Ovis aries: one gene and its partners. The main gene of each other region encodes a partner of the protein of the gene in region 3 in a complex. Links are inferred from orthologs where the notes say so. Each region holds a gene or a part of one and is shown on either strand. Other genes may lie near its edges. The genes, in order: nucleoside diphosphate kinase A 1, TREX1 and ANP32A.

Region 1 (3,645 bases), on a different chromosome or scaffold from region 3:
GTCATGAAGTACAGGGCCAAGACAGCCCTACATAATCTGGCCTCTGCCTCTGCCACTGAATAAATCTCACCCAACCTTCCCTTTCACCCACCAGGTTTCATCTATTCCAAACGTCCTTCTGTACTTCAAAAAGTTCCCCACCCCAGGTTCTTTGCACATGCTATTTTCTTGGTTGAGAATGCTCTTCACTCTATATTTGTGCATAGCCGGCTCCTTCTCATGCAGATCTCAGTTTGAAAATCATGTTTCTTGACCACTCAATCTAATGTGGCCACTTCCTATTATGTCATCTTATTTCATTTCTGTGCATCACTAATCATTAGCTGCTATGTATGATTTTTGGTTTCTTTATTATCTGCCCATCCTCCCTTTTCAGGATATACAGGCAAGGAAAGCTATGAAAACAGTTACCTATTTTTGTCTCATTCATGATTATATCCCCAAGTGTCTAAAAAAGAGCCTGGCACAAAGATGACAACCAATACGTGCTCAAAGAAGAATTACTACAATAAATAAGACACAATCTCTCTACCCTCCAGGAGCTTACAATCAGGCATCTCTCTCCTGATGTCTCCCAGATATGAGTCTTCAGCTCACCAAGCAAATGTATTTTGCCTTTGGTGAGTCAGAAAACTCATACCCTAATTGTCCAATGCCCCAGTCTCAGCATCCTCGCATCAGTGAAGACCTGGCATTAGGAGCAGGAATCACAATATTCACTCTTTGCTCCCAACTGAGCCATCTGTATCAACATCCCAAACATGTACACTCACCATGGCAACCACTGGCCCTGAGTGCATGTATTTCACCAGGCCAGCAAAGAATGGACGGTCCTTCAGGTCAATATAGTGCTCCTTGAGAAGGTCTTCAGAAGCCTAGCCCATAAGATAGAGAAAGAAATTTCATTCCCAAACTATTTAAGCACAATTTAGTTATTTCCCACTCACCAATCCTGCTATTTAAAACGTGAGCTCTCAGCTCACTTGTTCTATTATAATCTAATTCACTCAACTTACCAAAAGTGACAGGGACTATAAGTGCTCCAGCTTTTACCAATTTTCCCCTATTGTCCTTGATTGATCAGCATAAAATTACAGAACACTAGAACTGAATCCAGCCATGGTATTTTAGACAGGAAAACTAACAATACGATGAATTTGCATTCCCAAACAATTCTCAACTAAAATGTTAGAGGGAGGTGGTCTCAGCATTGGATGAAAAGCAAACTGAACCAGAGCATTTCTCATCACATTTAAAAAATAGCAAAGGCCCAGTGCAGTGACCATGCAATTTCCACAGGTATTGCAAACCACCCAAAAGCACATGCCATCTAACAATAAGTCACTTTACTAAAGAATAAATCTTTCACGTTGCAAGGCTGGTATCTGGGAACAAATCAGACTAGTTATAGAGAGCAAACCATCTGCTTAGCAATGCCAACTCGACTCACCTGTGTTTCCTCTTTGCTACCACTTACATGCTCCTTAAGGGTCTAATGAGATCCCTTAGTTTTCCCAGTTCTGTAGTACTGCTTCGTACAGAATGCTGCACACTTCAGTGATACACACAAACGTGGGGATTTGCTGCCAAAAAGCACATCCTGAACATGCTATCGTTCAGCCCCATTGATCGTCTCTTGCCAAAGTAAAATTACACAGCCACATCGTCACCCCGTTAGTATTCATCCTGACCCATCCCTCAATCCATATGGGAGACTTGCAGTGATTGTCTCCTGATGACCTTCCCTTACCAACATTCTTTTAATTCTATTAATTGGCGCTGGCTTTTTTTGTGTGTTGGTGCGGGAGGCGGGGACAGGTGGGAGGGAACTCAAGTTTTCCTTCACATCAGATTTAAATAACCCTGTAGGCTCATGGCAGCTATCCCCCAACCCATTCTTCACCAAGTCCAGGCCCTTGATAGGAAACAGTCTAAAGGACAAAATGTATGCACTTAAGGGTCAGAGAGCCCTGCGTGAAAATCCTAGCTACGTCACCAACTGGGTAACCACACGTTACTCAAACTCTCCAAGCCCCAGTTAGCTTCCTTATCATTAACAACCATGGGAATAGAAATAAATACTTCTCTGGGTTGTCATGAGAGCTAGTGAGAAAACACATGTGCCCAACACATGGTAAATATCTGATCAATAATACTTTGATTTCCCTTTATCTTCAAAACCTAATTCAATATACAAACTCTCTGGAAAGCACTGCTAATCCAATCCCTGGTTCTAATCATTCTATCATGCTATCCCCTCAGCATTAACAGCAGTCTGCTCCCTTTTATATTAACACACTTTTTCTAAAACATCACATGGGAACTATAGTGCAAATCAAACAAAATTTTAAATGCACTAGATGGGGAATTTCCTGGCAGCCCCAGTGGCTAGAATTCAATGCTTTTACTGCCAGGGCTGAGGTTCGGTCCCTGGTCAGGAAACTAAGATCCCACAAGCCATGCAGCGCAGCTAAAAGATAAAATGCACTGGGAAAGTCCAAAGTTGACTCTCTTTCTCTGATTCATTCACTAAAGGTGACTCTTAATAGGGGGAAAAAAAGATGATCCCCTAATGTATTTGCTTTGAGAACTTAAGTTATTTCCCAGGTGTGTTTGAAGAAGGGTTCTTGGCCAATCAATCCTTTGGAGTTTTTGAAATATTGCTTTGCAGGTATCTTGCAAGGGCATTTGCTCTCTGTTTCAGGTGGGCCTCCCCAAGGGCACAGCCACAGCTTTCCCCTATATGCCCAGATAGCGTCTAATACATGCTAGACACTAGGCAGGTGGTAAACAATGATAAAAAGACTTCCTTGCTGAAAAACAATTTGCCTCAAATGGTGGGGGGGTGGGGGCAAAGGTGAGGGTCAGGGAGTCTCTAAAATGATCTGCTCAGGAAGCTCAAGATCAGCAGCTCAAACAGGTCCAGGGCTTTGTGTCAGAAATCACTGTGTTACAGTAATATGTGGAACTCTGCACTGCCAAGAGAAAAGGGAGGCTACTTCTGAAAGTCCTGAATAACTCGCTGTATTCCAAGACTCGGTGGAGAGGCCACAGTTTCAGGACATTTATTCACTCTAAATGGAGAAATCTAAAATGATCTGAAGGGAGAGAGAGGCTGACCTACGGTGTTCCCCTATTTCTATGAAGTAATAGAAACAGCAAGAATGAAGTCCACTTACCCGCATGAATTTCATGGCAACAAGACGGAATCCCTTTTGTTCAAAACGCTTGATTATTTCTCCCATGAGGCCTCGCTGGACTCCATCGGGCTTGATGGCAATGAAGGTGCGCTCGCTGCTGGCCATGGTCCTGGGGATAGGCAGGTGGAGGGATGAAGCAACACTGAATATCCTGCCTACCTCATTATCCTTCTCAAGCAGATTATCCCACAAAGCTGCTTTAAATCTGTGACATCAATTCCAGGACTCTCTAGTAAAAACCTAATTCCACCTCAGTCCCCCCATCTATGAATTAATATCCCGGAGTGGAGAAGGGTCGAAAAGCCGGGGTTATAATTCATTTGATTGAATAAGCTTCTGTTAAGTCATATCAAGTGGATGTGACTGCCAGTTCACCCTCAATCTGGACCCAGGCGATCAGAGGCTCCTCACTCCCTCCCCTGTCCTTGGAATATACACTCTGTAC
Region 2 (3,388 bases), on a different chromosome or scaffold from region 3:
CACTTGTCCACTCAGGTGTCCTCCCTGCAGTGTTTTTATTTTACTGTTCACTAACTATTTTACCTGTTTTCTGTTTCAAAATGTGTGTAATGGTTGCTGTGAGGCTGAAACCGTTGGGTCCTAGAGGGAGACTTCCCTGAGAGGAGAGGGACTCTGAGTTCCTGCTTCTCCATCACCAGCCTCACAGGCTACCCGGCTGCTGGACCCCGGGCCTAGGTGTGTCCTGGCAGCGGGGACACCTGGGTCAAGGTGTCGTCTGGACCAAAGGTGGAGGGGACCCTGAGGGGGCTCCTGTGACCTAGACACATACCTCGGTGTTCCCCACCCCTCTGTCTGTGTCTTACCATGTCGTAGGTTGGGACCTCTTAATGTGTTTGGAGTCTTGGGTCTGCACCCTTGTTTGTAATAAATGCAGATATTTCGAGCTGTTGCCTCCTTTCATTGTAGCCCTGGCTGCTGGGATTAGGGGTAAAGACTCATTTTCTGTGCCCCTGGCCCCAGGTCTCTGAGCGTGGGCAGGAAGCTGTAAGGCCACCACAGCAGGTAGAGGTGAGTGATCGCTCAGTGCTGTGGGGGTTTTTTATTAGTCAGACTTCCCTTGCTGGCCTATTGCCCGGGCATGGCCAGGGACAGCCCATACAGCATGGCTACCGCCAAAGTCAGGAAGGCCAGAAGGCCCAGGGGGGCCAGCAGCCCCTCCCCGGGTGGGGCTCCAGGGCACTTCACTGGGGGAGGGGCTGGCTTGGGGCTCCTGTCTCCGCGAAGCTTGGGGCCGGTGTCATTGGCTCTGGCCAGGGGCACAGTGGCTGTGACAGCAGATGGCCTCGGGTTGGTTCCAGTAGATGCTGTGACCACGTACATTGGCTTGACGGTGCTGAAGGGCTTGGCATGAGCATCCACCCACCGTAGCAGGGCCCGCGGCCTCCACTGACAGATGCTTAGCAGGGCGAGCACGTCCCCCTCGGCGGTATGCGAGTCTGGCGGGGCCTGCCCGTATAGGCGTGTGTAGATGCTGCCCAGGCTGTAGCTCTTCCTTGGGCCATGCTCTGAGGAGCTGCCAGCCGGCTCCAGAGCCTTCAGAGCAGCGATGCTGTCCACACAGAAGGCATCGTCCAAAGCACTGGCCAGGCCCAGCAGCGCCAGCTCGGCCCGGAGCAGGGGGAAGTCGTAGCGGTCACCATTGTGGGCCACAAGGCACCAAGGCTGCGGCTGGCGCTGTAGGAAGGCGCGGATCAGGTTGACCAGGTCGGCGTCAAAGACCCGATGCCCATGTGCAGCCAGCACGGCAGTGCTCAGGCCCGTGATCTCGCTGGCCACGGGGCTGCATGCCTTCCCTGGAGCCACACACAGGGAGAGCTTGTCTAGCACCCGGGGTGGCGGGGGTGCCGTTGGTGGAGACCCCTGAGGGGTGGAAAGGCCCTCCAGGGCATATCTGTGGATGGCCAGCAGGCACAGCTCGGTGATCTTGGGCTGGGAGAAGGGCAGGCCAGTGGCCTCCAAATCCAGGAAGATGAGGGTCTGCACAGGCCCCGGGGGCAGGGCCCGTGAGCCCATGGTGGGTGTCTGCCGCTGAGCCTGGGGAGGAGCAAGGGGTCGGGGTGGGAACGTGAGTGCTCGCTGACGGGCGGTAAGGCAGGTGGAGTGGGAGCACCTCAGGCCTTCCCTGCCCCATTAGATCCTGTTGCTGAGCTCCAGCACCCACTATCAGGCAGGAAGACAGAGAAGGTAGGGTGGCTTCCTTAGTGGGACCTGCTCACTCAGCTGTCCAGGGGAAGGCTCAGCTCCTCCCCTGGGGCCCTCTTAGTGTGTGTTGGGGTACCCACAGCCCTCCCACCCTGCCTCATCCCCTTGGGGGTTCTCACTTACCGAGGAGCCAGCAGGCAGCAATGACTCAGGGTACACACTCTCTGGCTGGTTCTTGCTGCCGGCAGCAGCAGTGGCGGGAAGTGAAACTTGGCCTGAGCCCGCCCAACGGCTGGTGTGAGCACGGCCCGCCCCGCTTGTCAGCTGGCCTGGGCCATCCCTCCTAATAGCACCCGTCCTTCCCCAGGCACCCGCAGGGCTGCCCCAAAGGCCTCAGATCTCTGGCTGTGGGCCCACTGGCTAGCATGGTGCACCAGGGCCCTCACACGCTCACGGTGGGAGGACCAGGCTATGGGGGGAGGTTGGCTCCATGACTCGGCCTGCCGGGAGCCGCCCTGCCATGGCCATTTTGCACCCAGTCCGTCGCCTCACTTTCCCAGGCCTCCCTGGTTTAGGCCTGGGCTGAGGGCCGCCTCCACCCCTGCGCACAATGGTTTCTTCCGGTGGCCTCAGGAGAGAGGGATGACTCAGGGCAAATCCACAGGGGCAGGGCTCCTTCCCCAGGGCAGATTCATCCCCATGGGGCTGGGGCTCCGCTCTGCTCTGCCCCTCCCGCTCTGCTCTGCCCCTCCCGCTCTGCTCTGCCCCTCCCGCTCTGCCCATGCGGAGCAAACTCAGGAAACAGAAAGCTGGCGTGCTCTCAGCCAGTCAGTGCTTTTAATCAGAGGAGGAGGGAAGGACAGGAGTGGCTCTGGTGCCACCGTGTGGCTCGGTGCTCACAGGCCTCAGCCACAGTCCATCTCGGGCTCGTCCGCGTCGGTCTCCACGGCACAGAGATCCTCCAGGGCCGCCTCTGAGCCAAAACCCAGAAGGTTCTGTGGTGAAGGCCCAAAGGTGCTGGGACTGGGGGTGGCCCCACCACTCCGTCCGCCCCCCCAGGCCCACAGGAACTAACCAGTCCCTTCCACGCCCAGGCCTCGCTCCCTCAGCTACTGCAAGCAAAGTGACAGAAAGGCAATTCAGACAGGGATGTTTCTGGAAAAGCCGTGGCTCTGCCTGGCTGACTCAGTAGATACGAGCCAAAGGCAGGCTGATACACTGAGAGAGGAGCCAGAGCAGGAAAAGGAGGAGTGGCCTGGTGCTGGCAAAGGCTGTGTGGATGGTGGGCCGCTGACTTAAGGCCAGAGGGTCTGACTCGCCTGGGGACTTCAGGGCCGACCCCACGTGGGTGCTGGGGTGGGGGCGCCTACTGCAGGCTCACCTTCACAGTCGGTCACGTCAGGAAGCCCTCGAATCAGCATGCTGACCCCGGGCATGACCTGGTCGTACTGGTGCAGGACCTCCACGCAGTGCACCGTGAAGAGCTTGTCCTTCTGGGACAGGCCGTGCAGCAGCAGCACCGTGTCCCGCAGACACCGCACCGTCCGCCTCTGCCGCTCGGTCTGCGGGGGGCCCCCTGCCCGCCGCACCGTCAGCCACTGTCTGTGCAGCACCACCGTGAGTGCTCTGACCACCTGCGGGAGGGCGTGGGCGGAGGTCAGGGCATGTGGCCTCTGTACCCAGACCACCCGCTCGGCGGGGCAGC
Region 3 (4,299 bases):
CTCGGCGCCCTTCGGGTTCGGTCTCCGGCGGGCCTGGCCGTTAAAAATACAATAATAAGAAAACACCTCGAGCTCCAAACCAGCTCGGGAAGCTAAAAGGCCCGCCCGAGGGCCAGCCCGGCGCGCCCGCGGCCCGGCTCGCGCGCACGAGGCCCGGCCGCCCCGTCGCCCGGCCGCCGGCCCGCGCCCCGCGCCGCATGGAGCCCGGCGCCCGCATTCGGAGCCCCGCGCTCGGCGCCAGCCGCGCCATGGGGGAGGGGCGGGGCGGGCCGCGCGAGACCCGGGAAACATGGCTGCTCGTCCTATTTCGGCGTCGCGGCGTGGCCACCAGCCCCCGGATCAGAGTTGGGAGAGGCTCCCAAGGTGGGTGTGATGGGGGTCCCGGGGGGAGCAGGGCGGGGAGGGGTGCAGGGGCGCTCTCCGGGAGCTATTTATTTTAAGAATGTTTAAAAAAACGAGCCCCTCCTCCCCCACCCCTTTTGTCCCTCATTAGCTAGCTTTCTCCCCCTCCTCCCCAAACGGGCAGAAAGTGCCCCCTCCACCCCCACCCCGCCTCAAGGCAGGGGGCAGGCGAGTGGGCCGGGAGGCGAGGGGGCGAAGCGTGAGAAATCGCTCCCAGATCGGCGCGGCGCGTTCCCCTCCCCCAGCACACACTCGGGAAGTTTAAAGAGCCGGTTCGACCCGCTTTCGATCTCGCTCCCAGTTGGCCAGCAGCGGGGGGTAGGGTTGGCCGCCTGAACCGCGCCTCCACACCCTCCCGCCGCGACCCCGGCCCCCTACTTGGCGCCCTTCCCCCTCCACACGGGGGGCTTCCGGAAAGTACGCGGGAAGCCCGCGGCTCCGGCCCCCTCCCCCATCACCACACCCAGCCCCCCAATCCTCTGGCTCGGGGTCCAAGCTGGGATGAAACTGGCCAGAGAAACGCAAACCGCCGGCAAATTGTTCGTGGAAACTCCAGCGTCCTCCGGCGGGCAACCCCTCCCCTCCCTCCGCCACCCCCTCCCCGCCCTGCGCGCCATAAGGCACTGCACGTCTACAGTCCACAGCTGCGTTATGATGCGGGGGGGTGGGGGGGCGCACAAAAAGGATCTTGTTTTCAAAAGTCTCACTCAGGTTTGGGGGAGGAACTAGAGAAAAGAGGAAGCAAGGCCTGCCTCCGCCAGGGATTCGGGTTTTAACGGGTTGGAGGGGCGACAGGTCAGCGCACAGTGCTCCCCAAACTCCCAACTCTGTGGAACCCTGGCCACCGGGGCTGGGGTGAGGGTGTCCACCCGCCCGCGCTCCGCTGTCCCGGAGGGGCCACCAGAGGAGTCAGCCAGCGTCTCCGCCCCAGACCCGGGGTCTCCTCCGCTGAGCCTCCAACTCACATAAAACAGTGTTTGAAAGCGAGAGGGAGACAGAAATAAAAACGGGCGTCCGAGTAACCCACCGTCACCTTTCCCCTCCTTGGGGGTGAGCTTTCGCCCGAGCCTCCCAGTTCCCATCCGTGTAAGTTTCCTCCGGCTGTACTCCCGCTGCTGCCCAATCAATAACGGCGACGGGAAGGCAAACTCCCATCCCCGAGCTGCGTGTCTGCTATGCCCGCATAAATCTGGACCCAGCCAATACCCACCACGGGCACCAGCTCTGGGCAGCTCGCGTCCTGACAAAGTTTCCCGGGCCCATTTATTAATCGGGCGCCGAATGGCTGCCAAGGAGCCCACCCTAGAGAAAGACGGGCCGGGGGGCGTCAAGGCTCAAAGGCTGGCATCTTAGGGAGGCCGGAAGGAGCAGAGGCGAGGGGGGACCGGGACGTAGCCTTTGGGTAACTTGCAGTAGCGATCGCGCGAGGTGGGGAGGCGCGGGGATTATCTGTGCCTTTGCACGTTCGAAAATCCCTCCCCCCCTTCTTTCCATTTATCCTCCCTTCGGAAGGAAAGGAAGAAACATCAGCATCTGGCCCGAAGGTGGGGTGGAAAGAGTGAGGGAGACAGAGGAGGAGAGGAAGGGAGGCAGAGAAAGGGAGGGAGGGAGAGAAAGGGCGCGTTCACGAACACTACAAAGTTACAAATATGGCTCCCCCGTCTCTCGCCTCATCACTGCAAAGAAATGAAGACGCACTTTAAACTCGAGCCATTCCCAACTCCGCTGCAGCCCCCTCCCCACGCGCTCTCCCCAGGGGCCTCGGCCCACATTTATCAGAAACTAAACCGGACTCGCGAAGCCCAAAACTTATTGTGTGTGTGCGAGAGAGAGAGAGAGAGAGAGAGAGAGAAAGGGAGGGGGAAGGCGCGGGAGGGGGGCGGAAGGGGGGATTCATTTATAAAATATAAAACCCCCTTTTTTTGTTGTTAAATCCAGGAGGCAGCCCCTCTCCTCCTCCTCCCTCGTTAATCTTTCCCCCAGACGGAGTCACGGGAGCAGAGAGCTCAGAGGGTTATTTTGCCTCATTCTCTCCGACCCAAACGCGTGCGCCCGCTGGCCCCCGATGGGTGCACACTCGCACGCACACTCGCACCCACATTCGCACACGCGGGAGCACACGCACAGGTAGTCACACACCAAGGGCAGCGGCGGCGGCAGCCGGAACATGCTTGGATGGCATTGCAACCCCCCAACCTTGCAATTCATTTGCAGTCCGACCCCCAAGCCCACATCTCCCGGGCGCCCCCCCTCAAAAAAAAAGTGCCTCCCCCTAACGCGCACACACACAAAGTAGGAGAATGGACCGACAGAGATATTTTTGGCAAATGCTCACATCAGAGGGCGTCCTGTTCCGCAGCTCTAAATGAATCCGTTTGTCCATGTCCATCTCTCGCGCTCTCTCTCTGCAGAGGCTCCCGCGCCGGCGGAATTCAATCAATAAACCCCGAACCCACGGCCGCGCGTTTTAGGACTTTGAAGGCTCAACCAGCTCCGCTCGGTTCTCGAGCCCCCAGCACCCGCGGCGCACACTAACCTGATCACCGTGGAGGCGGGATCGGCGGCCTCGCGAATGAGTAGCAGCAGCGTTAGCCAATCGCCGCCGCCGATCTCCGGGCAACAGCGAATGGTGGTGGAGGCGGGGGGGGAAGGGACCAATGGGCGGGCTGCGCAGCCGGCCAGGGAGGCTCAGCCATTTGGTTGTGGTGCCGGAGACGGACCCCTTTAGATTTCGGGGCGGCTGAGGAGCGCGGCGGCAGCTCGGTCGCTGAGCGAGGGGGGTGGGCGGAATGGCGGGGGAAGGGAAGGCGACTGTGCCTGGAGGGCCGAGCCGCCCGGCCTCGCCAGCCCGCCGCCGCCTCAGCTTTTGGCCGGGGGCGGGGCCGCAGGTGCGTTACACGAAAGGGCGGGGTGCGGCCGGAGGGGCCGGGGGTAGGGGTCCTAGCCGGGCCGTGGGCTTCGCCCCGGGTCTGTCCGCGCCGCACGACTGGGCTGTGGAAAGAGGCAGGCGGCGAGAGGTCTGGGGGCCGCGGACTGCTCGGCGGGCGGGCCGATGAAAGGCCTGGAAAAAGGGGGGAGGGGTCAAGGGTGCAGTTGGGGGAGGGGCTGGTCATTTTCTGGGTCCAGAGGGCCGAGCTAGCGGAGCGAGGCTGCTACCCCCCATCTCCTCCGCGGGTTCCCACCCCGGGTCTGCGGCTCACAATCCGCGCGACCCTTCGCCTCCCTCCTCGTCGTAGTCCAGCCGTGACCATCGCAGCCTCTTGAATACAAAAGTAAATAAGCAAGATGCGTCCACCTTTGGATGACTTAACTCGCGGTCTAGACCCTCTACTTAAAGGGGCATTTCAGTTTGTTGTCATATAAGGTCAGCTTGGAAGGAGTGATCTGGAGGCACCGGCAGTCTTGTTTAGTCAATAAATGAGTGAAGACCATGGACTAAGAATTGATGCTGAATATTCTGAGTATTTTAAAAATGGAAAAGAAAGGTGCTAGTAAGTCTGGTTTTCTGGACCAAACATTATTTATGGGCTTTATTGACCTAGTGAAAGAAAACGGCGCAGTTTTTCATTGTCCACCTGAGTCATTTGGTTCAATTTGGACTGCCAAGGAGGCTCTATTTGGAGCATTTTCTCCAGGTTTTACGGTTTGCTTGCTTTGGGGTTTTTGAATCACAGTTGTTGTAAGAGATCTTAAAGCCTTAATTCCCATCTGGTTACCAACTTACTGTGGCCAGTTCTAGAACTTTTATTGTGTACTAAGTTGGCTGCCTATGTCTGTTAACAGATCACAGGGACTGCTGTCAACAGGACAAATACATCTCCACACAATTATTTTTCGATTCTTTTATTTCTACACGTCTACACACTTCCTCATGTACTCCAAGGTAGTTCTTTTGGA

What was found.
Region 1: ANP32A (region 3) and nucleoside diphosphate kinase A 1 share a complex: the UniProt entries of both Homo sapiens proteins name them as parts of the SET complex. The link is inferred for Ovis aries from reciprocal best matches to the Homo sapiens genes ANP32A and NME1.
Region 2: ANP32A (region 3) and TREX1 share a complex: the UniProt entries of both Homo sapiens proteins name them as parts of the SET complex. The link is inferred for Ovis aries from reciprocal best matches to the Homo sapiens genes ANP32A and TREX1.

Annotation. Positions count from the first base shown.
Region 1 is NC_056064.1:35,333,959-35,337,603, forward strand, and holds part of nucleoside diphosphate kinase A 1, read right to left. Parts: intron 3,310-3,645; 5' UTR 3,306-3,309; coding exon 3,180-3,305; intron 876-3,179; coding exon 774-875; intron 1-773. UniProt on the Homo sapiens protein: Major role in the synthesis of nucleoside triphosphates other than ATP. The ATP gamma phosphate is transferred to the NDP beta phosphate via a ping-pong mechanism, using a phosphorylated active-site intermediate.
Region 2 is NC_056072.1:51,426,312-51,429,699, forward strand, and holds TREX1 (three-prime repair exonuclease 1), read right to left. Parts: upstream 1,956-3,388; 5' UTR 1,867-1,955; intron 1,576-1,866; 5' UTR 1,555-1,575; coding exon 607-1,554; 3' UTR 562-606; downstream 1-561. Other genes in the region: ATRIP (ATR-interacting protein), read right to left, coding at 2,589-2,656, 3,065-3,317. UniProt on the Homo sapiens protein: Major cellular 3'-to-5' DNA exonuclease which digests single-stranded DNA (ssDNA) and double-stranded DNA (dsDNA) with mismatched 3' termini. Prevents cell-intrinsic initiation of autoimmunity.
Region 3 is NC_056060.1:15,612,015-15,616,313, forward strand, and holds the start of ANP32A (acidic leucine-rich nuclear phosphoprotein 32 family member A), read right to left. Parts: upstream 2,909-4,299; 5' UTR 2,792-2,908; coding exon 2,738-2,791; intron 1-2,737. UniProt on the Homo sapiens protein: Multifunctional protein that is involved in the regulation of many processes including tumor suppression, apoptosis, cell cycle progression or transcription. Promotes apoptosis by favouring the activation of caspase-9/CASP9 and allowing apoptosome formation.